Arabidopsis thaliana: one gene and its partners. The protein of the gene in region 4 interacts with the protein of the main gene of each other region in a biochemical or structural test. Each region holds a gene or a part of one and is shown on either strand. Other genes may lie near its edges. The genes, in order: CAM7, CIP8, SHW1 and HY5.

The links.
Region 1: the proteins of HY5 (region 4) and CAM7 form a complex in vitro, tested with the Arabidopsis thaliana proteins (one study listed by BioGRID).
Region 2: the proteins of HY5 (region 4) and CIP8 form a complex in vitro, tested with the Arabidopsis thaliana proteins (one study listed by BioGRID).
Region 3: the proteins of HY5 (region 4) and SHW1 form a complex in vitro, tested with the Arabidopsis thaliana proteins (one study listed by BioGRID).

The regions. Positions count from the first base shown.
Region 1 is NC_003074.8:15,661,295-15,668,911, reverse strand, and holds CAM7 (calmodulin 7), read left to right. Parts: upstream 1-2,442; 5' UTR 2,443-2,556; coding exon 2,557-2,632; exon of another isoform or gene 2,633-3,278; intron 3,279-3,431; exon of another isoform or gene 3,432-3,919; coding exon 3,920-4,289; coding exon of another isoform or gene 4,290-4,293; exon of another isoform or gene 4,294-4,780; intron 4,781-5,525; coding exon 5,526-5,724; 3' UTR 5,725-5,912; downstream 5,913-7,617. Other genes in the region: GSTU27 (glutathione S-transferase tau 27), read right to left, coding at 7,128-7,484. UniProt on the Arabidopsis thaliana protein: Calmodulin mediates the control of a large number of enzymes, ion channels and other proteins by Ca(2+). Among the enzymes to be stimulated by the calmodulin-Ca(2+) complex are a number of protein kinases and phosphatases. Activates MPK8 in vitro.
Region 2 is NC_003076.8:25,942,086-25,947,688, reverse strand, and holds CIP8 (COP1-interacting protein 8), read left to right. Parts: upstream 1-2,246; 5' UTR 2,247-2,346; coding exon 2,347-3,351; 3' UTR 3,352-3,574; coding exon of another isoform or gene 3,575-3,678; 3' UTR 3,679-3,698; downstream 3,699-5,603. Other genes in the region: CPR5 protein, read left to right, coding at 315-371, 477-512, 590-1,804; AT5G64910 (Serine/Threonine-kinase), read right to left, coding at 3,575-3,661, 3,765-3,896, 3,965-4,012, 4,100-4,162, 4,229-4,267, 4,353-4,429, 4,561-4,619, 4,873-4,932 and 3 more. UniProt on the Arabidopsis thaliana protein: E3 ubiquitin-protein ligase that mediates ubiquitination and subsequent proteasomal degradation of target proteins. Probably forms a minimal ubiquitin ligase complex in cooperation with the E2 enzyme UBC8.
Region 3 is NC_003070.9:26,340,380-26,346,218, reverse strand, and holds SHW1 (short hypocotyl in white light1), read left to right. Parts: upstream 1-2,987; 5' UTR 2,988-3,136; coding exon 3,137-3,304; intron 3,305-3,384; coding exon 3,385-3,609; intron 3,610-3,729; coding exon 3,730-3,795; intron 3,796-4,027; coding exon 4,028-4,147; 3' UTR 4,148-4,725; downstream 4,726-5,839. Other genes in the region: PPME1 (Pectin lyase-like superfamily protein), read left to right, coding at 1,248-1,451, 1,542-1,817, 1,902-2,108, 2,181-2,419, 2,511-2,670. UniProt on the Arabidopsis thaliana protein: Negative regulator of photomorphogenesis modulating both light and abscisic acid (ABA) signaling pathways.
Region 4 is NC_003076.8:3,592,275-3,597,977, forward strand, and holds HY5 (Basic-leucine zipper (bZIP) transcription factor family protein), read right to left. Parts: upstream 2,730-5,703; 5' UTR 2,527-2,729; coding exon 2,430-2,526; intron 2,200-2,429; coding exon 2,016-2,199; intron 1,906-2,015; coding exon 1,644-1,905; 3' UTR 1,521-1,643; intron 1,378-1,520; coding exon of another isoform or gene 1,309-1,377; 3' UTR 1,087-1,308; downstream 1-1,086. Other genes in the region: OCP3 (overexpressor of cationic peroxidase 3), read right to left, coding at 3,283-3,411, 3,503-3,820, 3,998-4,375, 4,563-4,802; AT5G11280 (tail fiber), read left to right, coding at 5,047-5,147, 5,461-5,692.

The DNA of each region.
Region 1 (7,617 bases), on a different chromosome or scaffold from region 4:
ATGAAAGTTTTTGGTTTAAATATAGGTGACTCGGTATAACCGGTCAGAGAAATGGGCTGGAGGGCTTTTGATGTACCAGAACCGTGGTGAAGATACGCCACAGGTTTGGTCAGACAGGTACCCACTTAAGTAGTAAATTGCTACTGAATTGGTTAATTGACTAAAAGCTTTTACAAGTCATGTTACTTTGTATACTTAAACAAGCTAAAATTAAATTTCTTTTTCATCCTTCTGGAACCACCATAAGGTCATTATGGCCAGAAATGTATGATCTTTGGTGATTTTTATTTATCCAGCGTTATAAATTATCCACCCATTAAGAAAGAACAAATTGATTCACATGAAATCGTTAGACAATAATAAGGATAGATCAAAGCCATCCTTCGACTAAAAAACCCTTTATACCTTCAACATACCTATAACGAAGGGAAGTCAATCATAACAAAAAGAACAGAATGATCCATACCAAAAAGAAGCTCTATGATATAATACTAAGAAAAAGCAAACACCTTAACCTCAACGCAATAATCTACCATCAAAACAATAACGGGAACAAACAATAGATCAAAGCTATATATCCGGCAAGTCAAAATTCCTCTGCATTTCTCGCATTTCACACATACCTATTCAAAAAGAGCTACCATCACAAACATAAAAAAAAGTCAGAGAAGCCTCCAACAATAAGAAGTCAGAATACAAAGGGAAACATATAACTGCACTGTTTATTAACAATTGTCTTGTGAATTCGTGTTATACCGTTACTTAATAACAATTATAAACTATAAAATATAATTTTTCTTTAAATAGATACAAGTTGTAAACCTTAATATATACTAACGTTAAAATCGCCTAGACCAACGTTTGGACATCAATATAGAATATCAGGTTACATCAATGTATCAAATTCAATATGAAATATCAAGATACCATAACAATAATACAGAAATATCAAATTCAATATGAAAATCTGATTTTTGCTTTACTATTAGCAGAAAATTCATGATCTGGACATAAGTAGTTAGTAGATTAGCCTAAGTTAGTAAAAATTAAGTTACAAACCTAAAAAACAAATTTGTCACAAAACTAGAATTTTTTTATTTTTTGGAATACGGGTTAAATCTTTAATTTATTATTTTTAGCACCACTTATCAAATCAGTCTGATTAGAAAAGATTATATAAAATCAAAAAATATTTTGTGGTATAGTGCTACTTAATAATAATTGTAAACTATAAAAATAATTGATGACAATTATATAAATTTTTTAAAAATCGTAAAATCAACGCAATTGGCGGGAAATTTTTCTACAAAAATTTTCTACTAAATTACGGAAAAACCGTAAAATCATTCTCAATCGTCTACTAATATTTATTGTCTAACCATTTTCTTTCTTGTGTTATAATTTTGAAATGTGATAAAATAAAGAGAATTTATAATAAATGATTATAGATTTGAAAAGAATGTACAAACTAACCTTGAGTCACAGTAGCTTGTCGGAAACATATTGGAGAACACATGTAATTACATAAATATCCTTTGTAACATGTTTTTTTTCCGAAATACATGCGATAACATAATATCTCTTTTTATCTTGTTATTTTCTCTTATTACATAGTATTTATAAAAAGCACATGGTATTTTATGGAAAAAACATTCTATTCAGTTTAATATCTCTTTTTATCATGATATTTTGTAGTAATACACATTTTTTATTAAGATCACACGTGATTTCTTTAAAAATATATTCTTATTTTTTAGTAATACACGGTTTTATTAAAATCACATATAAATTTTTTTTAAGGATTATGTTCATGTAAGAAAATTTCATAATAATGTTTTTTCTTAAAAATTCATGACGTTTTTTTAAATAGCATGTTTTAAAACTAAATATAACATGTGAAATTTTAATGTTACATGTTATTTTGAAAAATTACACGAATGTGTTTCGTTTACAGTTCATCTTACAACAAATGAAAGGTAGCTTTGTTATTTCATTTCTTCCGACAACATGGGTCCATGGTTATTTTGTAACAAAAAACTTTCTCTCTACTAGTTTCTTAATTTGTATGTTTTATTTGGTTATCTAATATTACCCTAAAATAAACTTAGCAAATAGAAAATGAATTTTATCAAATTGCCTACACCAATGTTTGGATATCAATGTATAATATCAGGTTACATCAATATATATCATACCAAGATACCATAACAATAATACAAAAATATCAAATTCAAAACTATTAGCAGAAAGTTCATGATCTGGACATAAGTAGTTAGTAGATTAGCCTAAAATAGTAAAAACTAAGTTGCAAACCTAAAAAACAAATTTCTCCCAAAACTAGAATTTCTTAATTTTTTGGTCTGAGAAATTAAAAGAGAAAGACGTTTAGGAGGGCAAAATCGTCAATTCAAAAATACCTCATTTTACCTGTAGCTGGTGAGATCTCATTTTATAAAGGAGAAGGAACATTCACTCTCACGCGCTTCAACTTTCTCCAGAAACAAGAAAATATCACAGCAAAAATTTTCTCGAGAAAATCCGAAGAAGACAAAAAAAATGGCGGATCAGCTAACCGATGACCAGATCTCCGAGTTCAAGGAAGCTTTTAGCCTATTCGACAAAGACGGAGATGGTCTCTTCTTCTTCTTCTTCTTCTTCTTCTTCTCTCAGATCTCTTTCTCTTGTCGTTTTTTTTTTAGATTTCTTCGCGGTGATCGTGAATCTCTGCACATTTCGTTTATTGTTTCATGTGATTTGAAGAACGATCTCGTTTTGATTCGTTCAGTCTTGCTCACATCTCCAGAGTGTTTAGGGTTGATTTTTGCTTCTATAGAAGGATCTAGAATATGTAGAATCTCCTTTAGTATATTCGTTGATGATTACTAAGATTTGTAGTTATGGAATCTTGTTTAATTAGGTTATTCATCATATTCTAGATCCTACATTGGAATCGTACATTGGAATCTAGTTGTTTCTCTGTGATTTACTATGATTCTGAACAAATCCTGTGATTATAATCATGCGGATTTGTACGTTCTCACAAAATTTAGTGGCATTGTGGTTTTAAGATTCAATTGTAACATGTAGATTTATCTGCAGATGTTTATACTCAAAATCTAAAAAACGAAATTTGGTTTATTGTGTGATGTTGCCAAATAGAAAAATAGAGAAAGAAGTTGATAATATCATCTCTGTTGTTCTTCTTTACAATAGTTGAGAACTTGCAACGGTGTGCATTTTGTGATGCTTATTGGCAATACCATCATATTTAGAACATTGTGCATTTCCTGGCCTTTGATTAGAAAGAGGCTTTAAATGTTGCTTGGTGGTTTGTGTGCAAAAAGTTTCTTTGTTAACTTGGTAGATGTTTCCCGAACAATCAGTTTTACTTGTCGTATACTATGATTGGGGTTTAAGAGTATTTTACTAAGAGCATTTTTGAGCTTTCTTGTGAGAATAGGTGCATTTCCTGGCCTTTGATTACTAAGAGAATAACATCATATTTAGAACATTGTGCATTTCCTGGCCTTTGATTACTAAGAGAATACCATCATATTTAGAACATTGTGCATTTCCTGGCCTTTGATTAGAAAGAGGCTTTAAATGTTGCTTGGTGGTTTGTGTGCAAGAAGTTTCTTTGTTAACTTGGTAGATGATTTCCGAACAATCAGTTTTACTTGTCGAATCGTCGTCCTTTTAAATGAGATATACTATGATTGGGGTTAGTAGTGTAAGGATATTTTACTAAGAGCATTTTTGAGCTTTCTTGCATTTGAAAACTTGACATATTACTTGTGTTTAAGATAATTGGTTTATATATCTTCCTGATCTTGTTGACAATATTAGTGTTCATAAAGTTATACTCGGAACTCTTGCGTTACAAAATCTGAAGTTGTGTCCAATTTTGGTTTGATTGCAGGTTGTATCACCACAAAGGAGCTTGGGACTGTGATGAGATCACTTGGGCAGAACCCGACAGAAGCCGAGCTCCAGGACATGATCAACGAAGTGGATGCAGACGGGAACGGGACAATAGATTTCCCAGAGTTCCTGAACCTAATGGCACGTAAGATGAAAGACACTGATTCAGAGGAAGAGCTTAAGGAAGCCTTCAGGGTTTTTGACAAGGACCAGAACGGTTTCATCTCGGCGGCTGAGCTTCGTCACGTGATGACAAATCTTGGGGAGAAGTTGACGGATGAGGAAGTCGATGAGATGATCCGAGAGGCTGACGTCGATGGTGATGGTCAGATCAACTATGAAGAGTTCGTCAAAGTCATGATGGCAAAGTGAGATTCTTCTTATCCCTCGAAATCCTAAGCATGTTTTTCTTTTACATCTTTAAAACTGAGAAAAGTAATTTATTGAACCAAAAGAAACAGAGAGATTTGCTTCCTTGTTTGTTTTGTTGATCGTGATTTTTTGGTAACGTTGCTTCTTCTTTGCCTTTTGGTTTTGTTATTGTCCGTGACGTTTGAACTCATAATTTGCTTTAGTCTCTCGAGTCATGACCACTTGATGATGTTATTTTCTCTTTTCTCTAAAATATTGCAGTTTATTGAGATCGACTAATTATATCCATTACGTGGAGAAATAATTGCTTACTAGTTGCAAAAACGTGCACTGTAATTGTTTAAAATTTAGTGTCTTTGCAAGAACAAAGTAGTAGTAAAAGTTCTTGGGATCAAACATTTTCTATTTCAAATACCCACTTAAGGCCCAATGGTATGGTTGATAAGGCTGTTAAGGTTGTGAGGGTTTATTAGCTGATGAAGGCCTATCTTGTGAGTAATAGTACTGTCAAACTACTCCATCTTGTGTGGTTCTCCCCTAGATTATATTTGAAAAAAAACTAATTTATCTACGTATAGACATTTTTCTTACTATAACATTAGCTCTAATTTGAATTTGATATTTGGATTTATAATACACATAAACGTATATAATAGTTTGTTCTATATGTTTTTTATTTAATTTTATTTTATATGTTTATTTAATTATAGATATAAATTTTCCTCAATTGTTTAATTTTTTTCTATATTAAAATTGAATTATATTTTATTTTATGCAAAATCAACTTTTAGTATTTACAAGTTAGTCATTAAAGTTATATTTATAACAATTATTATAATTTCCACTATACTAGTCATAGACTCATAGTTCTAGTATTAGTATCAACTATATACTAATAGAACCATAAATTTGTTTGTTTTTTGTTTTTTTAATAAATCTTATCGACTGATCCGGTCGGCCCGTATAAACTATAAGTTTGTTTTTATAGAGTTTTTCTAATTTAGTTATTGTCAATTTAACATTCAAGCTCATTAAGTTTTCTTTAGTAATATGTAAGACTCTTTTTATGCAATTCAGTTCATATATCTCTCTTCTCTTTTTTTTTTTTTTGTGACGAACTAAGAAACAAAAAAGAATTGACATTTTACAGTTAATTCTATTATCTTCTTCATTTCTAAACCCCAAAGAAAGAAGGAACCAACTACTCGGTTTTTATTGTTTCTTGTTCTCAGTCATGTTTGGGAATGCGCAAGTAAATTGATAAAGAAAAGGAAGAAGAAGAAGAAGAAAAAGAAAAAGAAGAAGACCAAAAATGCTAAAAGGAATGAGAAAGAATTGATCCAGCATAACCCCTCACAGCCCGAGTCACATCGCGTTCCTAGCCGTTTGAATCTCCTCTGCCACCGCTCTCATTCTTGCTCGATTCTATAGCTCACTGTACTTGCTGATCAAGAACTAACTTAAAACAATGAAGACGAAGAATAGTGAAAGCTAATAGTAGATAACTTGCATATATCGAGGGATTGTTTAAAAAACATAATAATAACCTTGTATATAGGCTACGTAATGGCATAAAGAAAAGATTGGTTGGTGGATTACCATGCGAGCCGCTGGTAGAGGACTAACAATTATGTACTTGGATTCAAACCATTTAGTTTAGTCCTAAGAAAAAAAATTAAGTTACCAAGTTTATCTCTAGGAATTTAGAATTTTAACAGTTTTATAGATTTATATTCATCTTGTAAACGATAAACGATAAACAAAACCAGTAGTGTCTCCAACCGCCGAAATGTTAACAATTAAACGATAAACATAGATTTTTTTTTCTATGATCAATTTTAGAAAAATAAAATTTACAAACAAGTATTTTAATTATTAAACTTTGAGAGAATGAAATGTAATAAAGAAAAGAAAAAAAAATTAGAAAATTTTTTTTGACCCACGTCTCCCTCTCAAATGCTCTCTTTCTCTTTATTTAAATCTGTTACACCTCTCTTTCTCTCTCACCAAACAAAAACTTTTTCGAATATTTTAGTAATTATAAATAGTAATTGTACTACTTCTCCAATTAAGTTACGGAAATGTACTGTTTTCTAAACAAACTCAAAGAAAAAGGTTAAAAAAATTAAAGAAACAAAAACTATAACACACTAAACAGTCTTGTAACAACTGAGAGATAAAAGTAGAAAAACAAATGAGTTAAAATCTATCAAAATGTTTAACCATATATAATGTCATGATAATATCTCGTAAGTCACTCGCATGTAATATCAACATCATCTTTACTGTCATGGAAGATTTTATTGCTCAACACTTAGTGACCAAGACTTAATATACTATTGCTGCTACTCCATATTGTAGATTTTATTATTCTTGAATGGTTTTTTGTTTAAAACTAGAAAAAGACTGGACAAGTCTTCATTACGAGAATCAGTGTGTTGGTGATGATGTATTGGATTATGTTCCCATTTCCTTCGCATCGAAAGACGATATGGCAAAATAAAGATCGAGAGTAATGGTGTTTATATACCATTCCACAAGAAACTACATCAAGAATTAAGTTAAACTATAGTAAGATATATAATTGAATTCTTTACCAAATATCGACATTGTTATATAATTGAATAACATAGGAATTTCTAAAAGTTTTCCATCAACATAGGATAATAATAATAAAAATAACTTATGATATATCAAGAACAACAAACCCATTTTATTTCAATTATAATATCAAATGAAAAATAAATTTTTTCACACCAACTACTTCCTTAAGCATTACAACATTTCTTATTATTTTGGTTAACTTACATAAATAGAGCATATGATTTAGACTATCAATAACCATAGAAAAACTCATGGACCTTTATGATCTGAGTGACTCGATCAAATATCTTCAGCGGGTCAGGTAAAGATTTCGAGATAGCGGGTCGGGTTAAGCATTTACGGATCCAGTCCATTAGCTTGGGAGTGTGGTCCTCGACACTAAAACCACCAATAGTCTCCCATGTGTGGAACCAAGGGTAGTAGGAGATGAGAACCAAGTCCACCATCGAAACGTTGTCGTTTCCTCCGAAGTAGACCTTATCTCCAAGCTCTCTTTCTAACACTTTCAATATCTCTATGAACTCTTGTTTCGCTTCTTCTTGTTCTTTGCCCCTCTTTGTCCACGTTCTTCTTCCAGCGTCAAAAACCTGTTTATATTTTTGTATATGAATCACAATGAAATTGAACTTTTAGTCTCCTTTCGTTGAACTTTTTATATACACACCATAACATTTAATATTATGAAGTATTTAGTAGATTGTATTTGTTATTCTTAAGTAT
Region 2 (5,603 bases), about 22 Mb from region 4:
TCTCTCAGTACTTGCGTGAATTCTTCACCCTGAATCGAAGAGAGGATCTTCTCCTCAAATTATAATCAGAGTCAATCAATAGAAGCTGAAGTTCTTCTTGGGGGTCTCTATGATCGAGCTTCAATGTAACATTGCAAATTTATATTGTCTTCTCTCTCACTTGCCTTAAAGCTTGAGCCTTTCTAGTTTCTACTCGGATTTGTAGTTCTGATTGTGATTTCACCAAATTTCATCCTACCTAGCCGCCAAAGTCATTGACTTGCATATGCTCTGTAGTTCTTACTCTGTTTCTACTCTGTTTTATTGTTCTCTAGGTTATTGCGAGAAAGAATGCCGCAGGTCAGAATGTTTATGTTGATGATCTTGTTGAGGTAAGTAGTATGAACTTCAAATGATTTCTTCTCAGTTTCTGTTCAATCTTTCTTTTGCCATCGTTTTGGTAGTGATACAAGAACTTCATTGATTATGCTCTCCAGATCTTTGCTACTCTTGTCGAAGAATCATTAGCCAATGTAAGCTAAAATCCCCCTCTATGTTTTCCGCATTTTTATATTTATAGACTTTCTGATTCATAATGTTGTGGTTACAGGTTTATGGTAATAAGCTTGGTTCCTTTGCGACCAACTTTGAGCAAACATTCAGCAGTACTCTAAAGATCCTTAAATTGACCAATGAATGTGCAAATCCACATCAGTCAAACAATAATGATGGTGGGAGTTGTAATTTAGATCGCTCTACCATAGACGGATGCTCAGACACCGAGCTATTTGAGAGGGAGACTTCATCTGCTACGTCTGCTTATGAAGTGATGCAAGGCAGTGCAACAGCAACCTCTTTGATGAATGAGCTTGCCCTTTTCGAAGAGACTCTACAACTCTCTTGTGTCCCTCCTAGAAGTTCAGCAATGGCTTTGACCACAGACGAAAGGTTTTTAAAAGAGCAAACACGAGCAAACGACCTAAAGACCGTGGAGATTGGTCTTCAAATAAGAGAGTTAAGGTGCAAAGAGACGGCGCTAGGATTAAAATTTGAATCAAACAACCTGGGGAAAGCGGCGCTAGAGTTGGATGTTTCGAAAGCTGCATTCAGAGCGGAGAAATTCAAAACCGAATTAGAAGATACAAGAAAAGAAGAGATGGTCACAAGAATCATGGATTGGCTCCTCGTAAGTGTCTTCAGCATGTTGGCTTCTATGGTACTTGGCGTTTACAATTTTTCAATAAAGAGAATCGAGGATGCTACCTCAGTATGCGACCAATCCGAGGAGAAAAGTTCGTCGTGGTGGGTTCCTAAACAAGTTTCATCGATTAACTCAGGCTTCAACACCTTCATCTGCCGGGTTCGAGTTTGGGTGCAGATATTTTTCGGTGTGTTAATGATCATTGTCTTCACTTACTTTCTAAACAAACGATCATCAGGTACGAAGCAGACAATGCCGATAAGTTTCATCGTTCTTTTCCTCGGTATATTTTGCGGTGTATCGGGTAAATTGTGTGTGGACACATTGGGCGGTGATGGCAAACTCTGGCTAATAGTTTGGGAAGTGTTTTGCCTTTTGCAATTCGTTGCAAATGTCTTCACATTGGCTTTGTATGGTCTAATGTTCGGTCCTATAAACGTGACTCAAGAGACCAGATCGAACCGTTGTAACAGTATGTTTCCATATTGGGCAAGGCGCAGTGTCGTGTATGTGGTGATTCTGTTTGTTCTTCCAGTCATAAACGGTCTTTTGCCATTTGCAACATTTGGTGAATGGAGAGACTTCGCTATGTATCACCTTCATGGTGGGTCTGACTATGCTTGAGACGAGGAGGCCATCTTTGTATTGTAATTTATTGTAACGATTTGGGTTTTTTAATCTTATTTTATTTTATGGGTGCTGTTGAAACAATTGTATCGCTATTACAAAGTTATGTATTCGAGTTATATGTTTGTATTGTTGTCAAAAGAAATTAAAATTATGCTTTTCGATATGACAAAATTTCATGGGTCAAATGGTACTTTATCTTATCAAGTTTTTGGATAAAAGTGCAAGTCAGTTTTGATTTGGAAGCTGGTTTAAATTGGATTGAACAATTTGATTTTTATGTTTGACAGCAATTGAACAGTTTGATTAAATTGTAAGTATTATGAATTTATGATGATGGTGATATCATATATAGAAGAAAATATTATGATATTGTGGGTGGGTCAAGTGGGTAAATGAGCAGGATTCTCTAATGTCTTAAAAATTCGATAATAATAATACAGAGAGACCTTTTTCTTTTATTTTCTCCATCCTCTTAATCGGCTTATCGGATCCGAATCCGGACCCGAAAGCCTGAAAACCCGACGATTAATTGCACGATGTCCGATGCTCCGTCGTCTTCCCCGGATGCCACGGCGTCGCACTGGTGCTATCACTGCAACAAACGCGTCGTCGTTGAAACCTTAGATGACTTTGTCGTGTGCTGCGAATGTAACAAAGGTTTCGTCGAGTCAATTCAACCGACTCCCGCCGCTTATTCATCGCCGGCGCCACCGCAGCCACTTTCCCCAGATCTGAATGTAGAAGACTCCAGTATTGGCTCGCATTTCCTCCAGATGCTCCGCTTGTTAGCCCACGCGCCTTCTCAGCGTTCACCACCACGACACCTTGATGTTTTATCTTACGAAGATGATTTCTTCAGGTTGGAGCTCAATAGTAGAAACGAAATCGACGATGACGAAGACGAAGATGAAGATGATGGAGATGAAGAAGAAGAGGATGAGGAAGAGAATTTAACCGTCAACGACGAAGAAGACGAAGAAGATGATCTGAGGAGGAGAAATCGTTTTCCTCTCACGACGACGCAGTCGAGAACCGGAAGAAACAGAATTCTCGATTGGGCTGAGATTTTGATGGGAATCGAAGACAATTCGATTGAGTTCCGTATGGAATCAGATCGATACGCAGGAAATCCGGCTGATTACATAGACGATGCAGCCGGATACGAAGCTTTGCTACAGAATTTAGCAGAAGGAGATGGTGGTGGTGGCGGAGGAAGGAGAGGCGCACCACCGGCTGCGAAATCGGCAATAGAGGCATTGGAGACTTTCGAGGTTAGTTCTTCGGAGGGAGAGATGGTTATGGTTTGTGCTGTGTGTAAAGATGGAATGGTGATGGGAGAAACTGGTAAGAAGTTACCGTGTGGACATTGTTACCACGGAGATTGTATTGTGCCATGGTTAGGAACAAGGAACTCTTGTCCTGTCTGTAGATTCCAGCTTGAGACTGATGATGCTGAATATGAGGAAGAGAGGAAAAAAAGAACTTCTACCGTGTCAGATTCTGCTGCTGCTTCTTCTTCTTCTTCAACTTCTCGTTACTGAAGTGGAGGAAATGCCCCCATTTGTTGTTACTTTTGTTGTTACTCTTTCTCTTTAGATTAATCTTTGCTTAGTCTCTCAACACTATTTGGTTGGTTGCATGTTGCATCAAAGAAGCGAGAAAACAGAGAACAAAAAAAAAAAATCCGGCTCCAAAAAGACAATTGTTATTTGTAAGTGTGTTGTATCTTTGGCCTAAACAATCCCATAGTGGTTTCTTTGATTCTCAGTTGTTCATAAAGTTTGCCGAAACAAAAAGGTTCCTGGGTTTAGGAGAAACGGTTACAGGACTTCGTGAGCCTTCCCGAAGTACCTGTTTATGAACGGGGACTGCACAGAGACCAACAAACTTATATCAGATTTTGGCAATAATATTCAGAGTTCCATTGACAAACTAAGTTGGATTTGTTTTGTACCTTCTCAATTCCTGCAGTGTGGGGTGTGTCTGGTGAAGGCAATGGATAAAACTTGTACAACCTCATTTCTTGATAGGCTTTTTTTGTTTCTTCGCTCAGTCCTTCCTTTGCTTTCTCTAGGGCTTCTTGTGCCTGCCAATTGTAGAATCCATTGTTAAGTATATGTGCGGCTCTGTAGCAGAGGGTATGAAACATGATACCGTGTCATAAGCTGCCATAGCTTTGTCACTTTTCTCTTTGACAAACTCCTGAAAAAAGGAAACATATGGGTGAGTGATTTTAGAGACCTCCCTCAAATGAATTCATCAAATCAATTCCAGCTCTTGCTTGCTTACCTCGAACGCAACCTTTTGTTCCGGGAGTAATACCTCCTCATTGATCAGACTGTCGGTGAATTCCTAAAATAAACTGAGATGAGAAGTAATTCAAGTAAGGTGTTTTATTGGAAAAGTCAGATACTGCACCTCAATGACGCTTTTCACCCAGTCATATTCACATTCAACCTGCACAAAGGAAAAGTAAGTTTGATTAAAAATGAAACTACCAAATTGTATTGTCGATCAGTTAAGAAAGACAAAAATAACTTACTGGTGGCTCAGAAGGGAACATTATTTTAACCACAGTGCTCTTCTCAGAGTCATCAACCTTATATGGGTTGTTGATGTCTGCAAATCATAGTAAAACAGTAATATTTACAGTATGATGTCTAGGGAAAACAAATCTCAAGCAAATGAAAACATGGTACTGAGAATATAACATCAATAACAACCAGCTAAGCATCAAAATTAGAGCTCACAAGGAAGGCAATAGTTGAACTTTTTAACACGATCGTCAGGCAAATGTTTGAGAGCAGACCTGCAAAGAAAATATACAAAGCTAGGCTGAATACACCAAATTCTGCACTCGTTAAGTTACTGAATGTGAATGGGAATGATCGAAGAATGCAAAGTGTTGCATCACGTTTTCAGATAAAGCTATCTGCTTCAAAACCATATGTAATGTAATTCTTTTTCCTCTACAAAGCGAATGAACAAATCACGTCTTCTATAACTTCCTAACTTGCATGGTAACAAGACATTGGGAGGAAAAGATACCACAGAGTATTTACCTTCTCTGAGTACAGCCCAAGATGAAAATTGGAAAGTTCTTATTATCAACTTGTCTATCCCTGCAGAAGAACAAAAGCAGATGAAATTAGCAACAACTCCCATAAACATCAAAAGTAAGAAGAGTAATACACAAATATACTATCTGTTTCATTGCTTAAGACCCTCTCACGAAAATATGTGTACAACTCAGGGATGTCTATATACCTTTGTTCAAGTGGGATGTAAGGAACCCAAGCCATTTTCATAGTTTTCATTGCAATAATTTCCCCAACCTCTCCTTGAACCGATGCAACTCCTATCTCATCAGAAGGGGGAATAGGTGAATCAATCTGTAAATAGATAAGAACCAAAATTAACCGTCAGTTATAGATAAACAATATGATCTTGTTTTCCAATCACAATGCCGAGCTTATTTTTCAAACACCAGTGACATGATATAAAAAACGAAACCAAAGCTTACACAAACGACAACAGGAACAAGGACATCCTTGTTTTCATCTTTGTAAGTGACTGAATGAGCTGCAATGATAAGATAGATGATATCAAAAGGGGAAGAGAGAGATGCACATTGCAGTACCAGATGACTTTGCAAGCAAATCAGTCGACAAGATAAATGTCACCTTAATCTAATACCAAGAAACAAATAGTGCTATCTAGGTATAACTTACACTCAGTGCAGCCAAAAACATAGACTTGCTTCCCATAGAGCTCTCCACCTTCCTCCAGAGCT
Region 3 (5,839 bases), on a different chromosome or scaffold from region 4:
AAAAGCTGAAAGCTTTTCTGTTAGCGAGAGATATTTTTTTGAAACGGCGAACAAAAAGTAAATTTACGAAATGAGACCTTGGATTCATGTAACTTTAGAAATATAGCCCAAAGTTAGTTTATCATCAAAATTGTCCTTTTTTTTAAATCTAATATTAAATTATATTCAAAGAAAAATAAACTTTTATACATGTAAATGCAAAAGACTTTTCTTAAAAATTAAAAGAGATATTATCGATGGTGTTATCTTGTCAAAGCAAACCACGTTTGGATCCCGCCTTTGTATTTCTCACAACTCCCTCTCCTTGTTGTCCTTAACTGGTTTCTAATGTTTTTGTCTATCAAATTGTACTTTTTCGATTGCTTATGTTCATATAAACACACTTCTCTCCACGTCGCAAGGTTTGAGCCTGAACGTCTGCGATATGTTGTTCATCTTGTCGAACATAGAGCCGCTTTGGAAGCTCGCAGTCACTGCTTTGAAACCCCTCTCCGCGTTGTTTAAGTAACTAGAGTTGTATGACTCAGCTGCTTTTGAATTGTGGAGCCGATATTGAGGCTCAGAATGAAGTTGGACATACTTCTCTAAGAATTGCTCTTCAAAAATGAAAATCTCGATCTTTCAAGTAAATTTGTTTATCTTTTAAACTTTGTTGTGAGTCTTTGTAAATGAAAAATAACATGTTTATGTCCTCTTGATTGCAGCTTCTTCTTGAAAGAGGTGTCAATCTGAATGCTTTTAATTTTTATTTGCATAAAGCTTTTAAGAAACCATCTTTATAAATATAGCCCAAAGGTATGTTATTATCAAAATGGTGTTGGTGAACATGTTGATGTTGTTACCTCCTCGGATGTGTCTCTCGACATGGATTTAATCAAATTTTTTTTTTAAATTGTTTTTTTAATAAACTTATGGTACATAAATTAACAGTTGTATAGTCTTATCAAAATCACAAAAAAAAAAACGATGTAGTAAAAATATTAATAGTAAAATCTATCAAGAATTAATAAAATATTTTGAAAACATACAAAATTCCAAGAGAAATTATAGCGGGTTGCAAAAATGGATCACCACAAACAATAATAGCAAACGAGAACAAAACTCAAAACAATTTAGGTCTCTGAAACAGTATATATACTCATGGCCATCTTTCCATCAAATCATCCAGAAAAAAAAAACGAAAAAAAACAAAAAAAAATAATAAAACAAAAAAAACTTTTTATTTTTAAATAAAAATAAAATAAAAAATGGGATACACAAATGTGTCCATTTTATTAGGCCTGTTGATGGTCTTTGTTACACCGATGGTGTTCGCAGATGATGTGACACCAATCCCAGAGGGCAAACCCCAAGTGGCGCAGTGGTTCAATGCCAACGTTGGTCCATTGGCTCAACGTAAAGGCTTAGATCCTGCTCTTGTAGCTGCTGAGGCTGCTCCACGTATCATCAACGTACTATTCACACTTATTGTCTTAAACTCATCCTTTGTACCAATAGATTTTGATACAATTTTTTTGAAAAACATGTAAAAATTATTGCAGGTGAATCCAAAGGGTGGTGAATTCAAAACACTAACGGACGCAATAAAGAGCGTTCCTGCAGGGAACACAAAGCGGGTGATCATAAAGATGGCTCCTGGTGAATACAAAGAGAAGGTCACTATCGACAGGAACAAACCCTTCATTACATTGATGGGACAACCCAATGCCATGCCTGTTATCACCTATGACGGTACCGCCGCCAAGTATGGAACCGTTGATAGCGCCTCTCTCATTATCTTATCCGACTATTTCATGGCCGTTAACATCGTCGTTAAGGTAAGTGATCCTACTATATATCATACATCTATGTGACTAGTCGACTATTTCATGGCCGAGTGATTTATTTTTTTGCATATGTAGAACACTGCGCCGGCACCAGATGGTAAAACTAAGGGAGCACAAGCTTTATCCATGAGAATCTCCGGAAATTTTGCTGCTTTCTACAACTGCAAATTCTACGGTTTCCAAGACACAATCTGTGACGATACAGGAAACCATTTCTTCAAGGATTGTTACGTTGAAGGAACATTCGATTTCATCTTCGGAAGTGGAACCTCTATGTACTTGGTACGTAACATCTCATACTTATTTCTTAATACATAAAGTGCGAGATCTCTAATGCATGTTTGAGTTCAAAAGGGAACACAATTGCACGTGGTTGGAGACGGTATTAGAGTGATAGCAGCGCATGCAGGAAAGAGCGCAGAAGAGAAGAGTGGATACTCTTTCGTGCACTGCAAGGTGACTGGAACCGGTGGAGGAATTTATTTGGGAAGAGCATGGATGAGCCACCCTAAGGTTGTTTATGCCTACACCGAGATGACCAGCGTTGTCAACCCCACCGGATGGCAAGAAAACAAGACTCCCGCACATGACAAGTAAGTCCCACTTTTCACATTACATAAAAAATCGTATGAATATCACCCAATCGGTCCATGTCCTTTATGCTGATTATATCAAAAATGACAGAACCGTGTTCTACGGAGAGTACAAGTGTTCAGGACCAGGATCACACAAAGCCAAGAGAGTACCATTCACACAAGACATTGACGACAAAGAAGCTAACCGTTTCCTATCCCTCGGCTACATCCAAGGATCCAAGTGGCTTCTCCCACCACCCGCTTTGTAAACTCTTCAATATCAAGTCTAAAATCATATTTTGCACATATATCACTTTTAACAAAAAAATTATTTTTACATATATCACTTTTAGCAAACTTTTTCTTTACCTAGTCGTCACTACTTACGACCCTATGTATGCTTTTATGCAAAGAACCGAGAGGTCGATAATCTGAGAAACATATAAGCAATCGAGACTTAGCCGAAATAAATTGATTTTCTCTCTCAAATAAAAGTATAAATGGTACCCTATATTTATGTAGCTTTTCTAAAATAGCCGAGGTTTTATTTAATTATCAAAAAAGTCTTTTAAGTCTAAAAGTAAAACTCGGTCACGACCAAAGTAAAAACTACGAAACAGTACCTTTTGTTTATGTATACTTACAAAAGTATCCCAAATGTATTTAATTATCAAAAAGGTCCGTTTTAATTACAATCACTGAATAATCATCTGGTGTTACTCTCTCTGCTCACAAATGGCCGCAGCTACAACAACCTTATCATCATCTTCATCATCACCATCGCTAACTCTCATCAATGCCTCACACAGATTTGTCTCTGTAACTCCCTTCTCTTCTAACTCTATATTCCTCCGCCGCCGATTCCGCCGCCTAAATCGCTCACTCGCTTCGTCTAGCTCCCACGTACGTTCTGATTATCTCCTACTCATAGAATTGTGTAATCCGAATCCGAATCCGAATTTACTCAATCTCTTTATCCTTAGTCGCGTAGGCGATACGAATCAGACGATAGATTCTTCGGCGGTGGTGACAATTACGATGTTGTTCCCGATGACGACGGATTTAGCGACGATGATGATGAAGAAGACGAAAGAGAAAGCAGTGTCGATCTTTTGATCAGATTCTTGAGAAGCATGTTCAAGAAAGTCTCGAAACGAACTAAAAAAGCATCGCGACGGATTTTGCCAGCTGCCATGTCTCCTCGACTCGTGAGTCTCTTCTTCTTCTCCATTAAAGCTTTTAAGTGTTTCTTCAGTTTTGTGGGAAATTTTGTTTCTTTATCCTCAAGTTTCCACTTTTGATGTTTCCTCTGTTTTTATGATTTGCAGGTGTCTTTTGCAGTAGATGGGATATTGTTATTAGGTTCACTTTCCATTACAAGAGCATTTCTTGAGGTAATCTTTTACCATTTTGCTTACTTAATTGAATCACTAGTATCGAATCGTATATGGTTTGATTCTGTTTTGTGTGATTGGTTTTTGAGCTTTCTTGTTGAAGCTAGTTTGATCTGATAGTTGCATTGGATTGTATGTGTAGCATACACTATTTATGAGCGTTTATGAATTAGAGTAACTTGTTTTAGTTGAGTGTGATCTCATGGATATGTGTTGCTAACTTTTATGGAAGGTAATATGCAATCTAGGAGGAACTGTGTTTACGGTGATTCTGCTGATACGGTTGTTCTGGGCGGCAGCTTCGTTCTTCCAGACTTATGGGAACTCTTTTGGACCAAACCCGGTAAATTAAAACCTTGTTTTACTCCCATTTGGGTGTGAGATGTTGTAACTCATGTCTTGTTACGTCAATTGGTAAAGGGAAATGTAAGATAAATGTGTGCATTAATATAGCTAGGGAATTATGTAGTTTATCAAGAGTTAGAAGACGAAACTAAGAAGATAAAAGAATGTTTCCTGTAATGTTTCCTGATATTTGTTGTTCAACGTATGTGTAATTTTAATGAATACACCATTGTGTTGTTATTACTATAACATGATGCAAAAAAGCTTTAGAAGAGTTGAAATCGAAGGTGTTAGGCTGGAGGGAACAAAACAAGCTGGACACAGAGTTAGTGTATTTGTCATTCATGATCATGTCGAGAATACAATGTGGTTTTAGGAGTGATTTGTATTATTTAAAACCTTTTAATATAGATCGATCCTTTGTTTATTTTCAGAGTTCAAAATTTTACTCTGAATTTAATCAAAGAGAATGTATTATATTTGAATATAGACAAATCATAAATTCAATGATGCTAAATCATAAATTAGGTTTATGTGGACACATCATCTTCTTCTTTTTTTGGATCAAAGGGTGACATATCTTTTGGTAAGACGTAAATACTTAATGTGTCTTTCTTGATGATGTTAATTTCTGTAAAACCTCGTACCGTACACATTGATGAAAATAGTGAGATCTTGAAAATAGAGAGGTCGAAACCACCACACTACACTAGACCGTCTTGGAGTTACTATAGCTACATCTTTGACTTTCATTGTTCTTTGCACGCAACTTATCCAAATCAACACATGTTATCAGGAAACGCGGATTCTGTATTTCTCATGTGTTACAAAAGCGAAAAGAATATATATTTTGAAAAGTTCATATTATACCAATTTGACATCAAACAATTTAATAAATTTGTGAATAATTTAAGAATATTCAATATATTATGCTGCTGCAGTTGAAACCTATACACAATATGAATTTTTAAAGGGGGAAATAAAAGACAATCTTTAAAGTTGTAACTCTTAATTAGTTGAGCAATTTTTTTTTATCCGGGTATGATTTTGGGATATCCCTATATATCGGTTTGTTTGAATTTGAAATTATTTTTCTTTGTTTAAACATGGATAAACTGTAATTACGATATATTTTTTTTGTTTTTTCTTAAACTACAACTAAGATCTATTTGGTTTTAATGTTTTATAAATTGAGTCTTTGTTTTCTTTCTAGAAAAAAGTTATGAATCAGTCGTAGTTAAAAGAAAAATGTATAGACAAACACACAAAAACTATAAGATGAAGAAATTTCAAAGATGTTTACTTTCCGGAAAATTTGACGCTACAAAAAGTGAGAAAGAAGGTGAGTCGTCGTCACTCTGAGTTGGTAGCAAAGACGCGGAAGTTTGGAAGTATCTAGGGTTTATTAAGTCATACATAAAGTAAATCATAAATAAAGTTAACTCGTAATTGAGATTTTGTTTAATTACTTTTTCCACAACTCTCGGTAAACTGTATTGTTCTCTTCTAATAAGTCTTGGGAATCAGAGCCAGATTGTTTTTTTTCCATAATATAATAGTATAATCTCTGTGGAAACTATAAAAAGTAGCAGTACACCATAGACTATGAAATTTCAAATTCATTCATCCTGTTAAGGGCTCAACTAGTTAAGTAATAATAATTACACTCCAAATCTGTAAGTACTAAATTTTGTAACAA
Region 4 (5,703 bases):
CCTCACAAGCATAAACAAGACACAGAATGTAAGAAACAGTAAAAGGAAAGATAATGTAGAATGTAGAATCATAAGGATTTTTCATTGGTTGTGAGATTTTGATTCTAAGAGGAAAGCAGCAACTAAAAAACTCAAGATAAATTTCAAGAAAGCATTGATCAAAATCTGAGTTCCATGACTTAAAATACTTACATTGCTGTTCACTCCTCAAGCTTTCTCTTTGTCGGATTTTTTGCAAATTGATCAGCGATATTGATGATATGAGAGATTTCTCAGGTAAAACGTCAAGCCTTTGCCTCACTTCCTGTTCGCAAGATGCTAGAAAGCGAGATATTAGATTCTCTATTCGCCTGGATATACTGATGACTCTCTTCTTTTAATCTCATTATCATTGAATGGAGAGATTCATTTTCTTTGAAACTCCATCTGAACGTGACTGAGAAAGTCTCTACGGACATCTTCCCTGCGGAAGCTGGTAAAGACATGGAATGTCCAAATGTAAGACAAAGAAGATGGAAGTGGTAAAAGAAGGAGAATAAATTTTTCTTTGTTAACATTGATAGAATCTGAGTATCCTCAAAAGCATGAGAAATAATGTCAAACAATCCATAGTACACTAGCAACTAGCAATAGATGAAGATGAGATCCACGAAAAATCTAAAATAGAAAACAAAGAATCAGAAAGCATACAACAGGTAAAGAAATGTACGATTTTGTCCATGAAATTCGGTTGTGGCAACCCGATTCTAAGAAGGGAGCAGCAAGTTCAAGGTAGCAGTGACAGAAAACAATGTCTGGATTCCATGGATTTTAGAAAAAGGAAAGCAAAAGTGTAAGAAAACACTTACATGATTGCTCATCTCTCGAGCTTGACAAGCTTTGGCTGTAAAAGATCGACCCTACCCTCTTTGTCCGATTTCCGCATAATATGATCAACGGCATCTTCGTTTACAAATCCATGGCGACTTGTCTGTAAGAAATCGGGAGGGATAGGGGCAAAAAGGAAAAAAAAAAGAGTAAAGATTCCACTATCCCAGAATTTGTTTGGGACTTTGAACTGCGGGAATCGAAAACGCAACCTTTCTACTACAGTGTCACAATGTCATATCATAGAACAAAAATTAGCTTATTTTTGTTATAAAACAACATTATGTTTCAATTAAGAGAAATCTAAGACTACAATAAGAGAACTTGGTCTACAATTGCAATATTAGCTCTCACATCCCATATAATTTTAACATGATAATTATTGATACAATTCTCTGTAAATTTTATCCACAAAAATATAACACAAGAAGAAGAAGGAGATCAAAGGCTTGCATCAGCATTAGAACCACCACCACCTCCTCTCTTGTTTCCTGTTGTGTTCTTCAGAATCTACACCACATAAAAAACATAACAACTCAAAAGACTTTATTACCACACACACACATAGAGATCCAACTTTGCAATCTCATCTTCTCCATTCATATAGAACAAAATGAGTGAGCATTTCAAGAACCATTGAAGAATTTACATGCCTTTTGAGAGAATATGCGAGTGAATGACCATTTCAAGAACCTACATGCCTTCTGAGAATTAATCTAAAGCTTAAGTTAGCTTCTTAGATCCTTTTAACTAACTAAACTAATTATTGGTCAATCCTAGACTCGTAAATGTGATAAACCAGTACTGTGATATATCAAAAAACAAATGGCAAAAGCATTGACGTTGCAGGTTAAGTCAACAGTAAGATCGACAAAACGTACATGTCTAAGCATCTGGTTCTCGTTCTGAAGAGTAGAGAGTCGCTCTTCAAGTTCAGAGTTTTTGTTCTCCAAGTCTTTCACTCTGTTTTCCAACTCGCTCAAGTAAGCCTTTTTCCTCTCTCTTGCTTGCTGAGCTGAAACTCTGTTCCTCAACAACCTTTTCACCACAAAATTACCAAACAACCCCATCACGCAACCGTTATTTAACATAATCACCTTCCATATAAAGGGTAAAAATGTAAATTCAATGAATAGAGAAAAAGACACCTCTTCAGCCGCTTGTTCTCTTTCTCCGCCGGTGTCCTCCCTCGCTTCCTTTGACTTTCTCCGACAGTCGCCTGTGTCCGCTCCTGACCGGTCGCCGATCCAGATTCTCTACCGGAAGTTTCTTTTCCGACAGCTTCTCCTCCAAACTCCGGCACTCGCCGTATCTCCTCATCGCTTTCAATTCCTTTAAAACATAAAAGAGACTTTAGACGAAAAGTTTCAAACTTTTTAAATACAATAAAAAATTGCAGATCTTCTGGGGGAGACTAAAAGTTGTGAATCTAGATGTGAATCAATGGTGATACAAAATCTAGATGTGAATTTACTAGATATCCAATGCATGAGAATGAAAATCAATGAGATCACTCGTTGGGAGAAGATATGAAAATAAAACAATCGACAATTTTTGTTTACCTTCTTTGATCTCCAAATGTGGAGCAGAGCTTGATGACCTCTCGCTGCTTGATGGTAAAGAGCTTGCAGCTAAAGAGCTAGTCGCTTGTTCCTGCATTTTTCTTACTCTTTGAAGATCGATCAGGCGAGAGAGAGAGGGAAAGATTTGTTGTCTTAGTAGCGAAGCTGGTGAAAAGGATAAAGAGGAAAAGAGCGGGACTTGGGATTTACAGAAGAACTTGGAAAGAATCTAATTGCGAGACATTTTGGGAAGGAATAGATTACTCTGGCTACCGCCGTCAGATCTCTGAAGAATCGAACGGATATCGAGAGTGAATCGTGGAGAAAGGTGAGCCTTGAGGAAATACAAGGATCCAAAGGCAATTGAGATTGGAACGTGGGTGGATTTTAGCCGTTAGATCTGGTTAGCATCTTACGGTGAATAATGGATAGGGGAGCTAATTGGGTGGGCCCCATTCCTGTCCTTGGACAGAAAAGTTTGGTCTGAGTTCTTTCATTCTGTCACATGGCCCACGCCTAGGGCAGTGCTTTCAAAAGTGTCGTGAAAGTAATTTATTTTATTTTTGGTGATTTGTTTTTGTCATGCATTAAAATTAAACTTTATAGCCGCCATAAACCAAACAAAGTTGAAACGGTTTTCTACAAGACACAATCTCAGCAAGGAAATAACTAAAAACTGAATACAAGATATCCTAAAATTTCATAGTCCAACATATCCAGCCACACCATTGGACAGAATCTACTACTATAAACACTCCTCGTATCACCAAAAAAACTTGTCCTTGACGACAATGTTGATGAGTTTCTGAGAATCAAGTATACAAATCATTGCCATCTCAACGTTAACATTAGATCAAACCGGAGCTTGATATGGAGCTCGCTTATCTGGAACTCCGTCTTCTGCTCTTTTATCTTCGAACCACTTCAAAACTCGCTTCCTTGGAAGATTGGTCACTTGAACAATGCTGCTAACCACAGCATTCTATTCACAGCATCATCAAACATGATCATATGTGAGATAGAGCATTCAAGTAACATAGAAATTGATTCAAATGTAAAAGGAGAATCCTTACAGTGGGTCGTTTTGATCTTCTGTAAACTTTCTCTAGCGTTTCAATGTGAGCTTTCTTCACTCTTTTCTGAGCAGACCATCTCTGTTGCATCACATGAACTGCTTCATCTTTTACTTTTTCCTTAGGTTCGACCACAACATCTTCAGCTGATAATGATTCCACAGGACTTGGATCAGGTGAGGAGTTCTCAGGTGCTGCTACTGGCGGTTTTTCATCTGGTAGTGTAGCACTTAGCATTAGCAGCTTTGGAGGCGGGTCACGAAGCAATTCAAGAACATAAGCCCTGTCAAGACAAACCTCAGCTGCCAGATTTTTAATCTACAGATCACAACAAAACCATCCGTTATCAATTATGCATTTGAAAACCAGAGAACTACTTGTTCTTTGTCAACTCTTAAACAATTCGTAAGCAAAATCTCCAAAGCAGACACTAACTCAAGCACTATGCTTTACACAATGTATTCAACATCACTTCAACACTGAACTAAAACTTACACTAGTTTTACGACGCCCAGCTTTCAATGCATAAGCCAGTCTTTTAAGCTGCCAATTCTTCAGCTTAGTCGGTCTTTCATCTTCTTCGCTGTCATCATCATCATCATCATTATCATCATCATCATTATCATCATCATCATTATCAACATCAACATCAACATCACCAGTGACTGAACCAAACAAGTCGATGTCATCAACATCGTCACCAACACCCAATGCTCGAGCTAACTCATCGGCTAATGCCTCTAACTCTTCCTCACTTATCTCCTCATCATCCGAGTTATCATTCTTCAAATCTTCTTCTAAAAGATTAAACAATGCCTCAAATGGATCCTCCTCCTCCTCACCTCCTCCATTATCAGCTCCATCCAAACTTTTCTGCCACAAACCATGAAATCAAAGGCTGATACAAAATCAAAAAGAGCCAAAGTCTAATTCGAGGATTCACCAATTCTAACCGATAATAGCTCACTTAGTTAGTGTATCCAAATTCTAGTCAAATTCGGCGAAAGCAGCAGGTAAGAGCAATTGCGAACATAAATCATTCTCATTCTGATTTTCTTACCTTTTTGTTTTTCTTCGGAGACGAAGAAGACGAAGACACGAATCCTTTTCGATTCTTGCCACGAGCAAAAACAAGTACAGACCGAGACGGATTGAGAATTGGAAGAGATAGACCACAAGGACTAGCGTTCCGATTCCGAAACAGAACTCTGTTGACGGATAATCCTGACGACGAAGAAAACGACGGAGGATGAAGATGAGAGACGACGCCGGCAGAAGATAGAGCCATGGCTTTTATCATCAAAACTGTTTGCTGTTTTCAGCAGCAGTGAGAAAAATAATCGGATTTTTATATGAATCTTTGTAAACGACGTCGTTTATCCCTTAAAGATCTAAACACTGACTCCGTTTTGTGTTTACAGTGTAGCAAAGCGTGTCGTTTATAAAGTATTTATTTTGTTCTTCGTCGTTATCGTCTGGTAACAACGGGTCCACTCTGCATCTCTCTCTCTCTCTCTAGATTTGATTTCTTTGCGGGCTTGTTAATGGCGAACCCAGGGCAATCAAAGGGATGGATAAAGAAATGGACGTCTATGGCTTCATCGGTTTACTTCGTCTTGATCTTATTCCAGATCCCTCTCTTCAGGTAAATTCATACTAAAACAAACTCTCAGCTGCGTAATTCGAACCCTATATTTCGTTATCTAGTGATGCGTCTATGAATCCGATATGTGGACGACGCTTAGTCTTTCTCTTGCGTAAGGTTGATTAATGAAAAACTTGATTTCTGATTCATTTTCAAGTTTCCGCATTTTTGTGTAGCTGGTTTTAGTATGAAACTCTAAGCTGATTCAAAATTTTATCAGTTGATTAGAATCTTAATAATATGGATCATTAGTCATTACTTGGTTTGTTTGTCTCTCTGGTTGATCTGACTTGAATCGTAATCTTAAAAACAGAGTTCCATGTAGATCTGGTATGTGTTCATCGCCAATCCATGTGACATCGTCTCAGTTGATTTCTAGTGAGATCTTTCCTGTTCCGATGATTAAGGCTCTCTTATACCCTGGTGCTGTAGTCAATGGCCTTGCCATCAACATGACATTTCCAAAGTGGGAAAATGTGTTAGATATCTACAATCTCACCAATGTGAAAGAAGCTTCTGCAGTGACCGATCTTCAACGCCTAGAGGTTCGCTTATT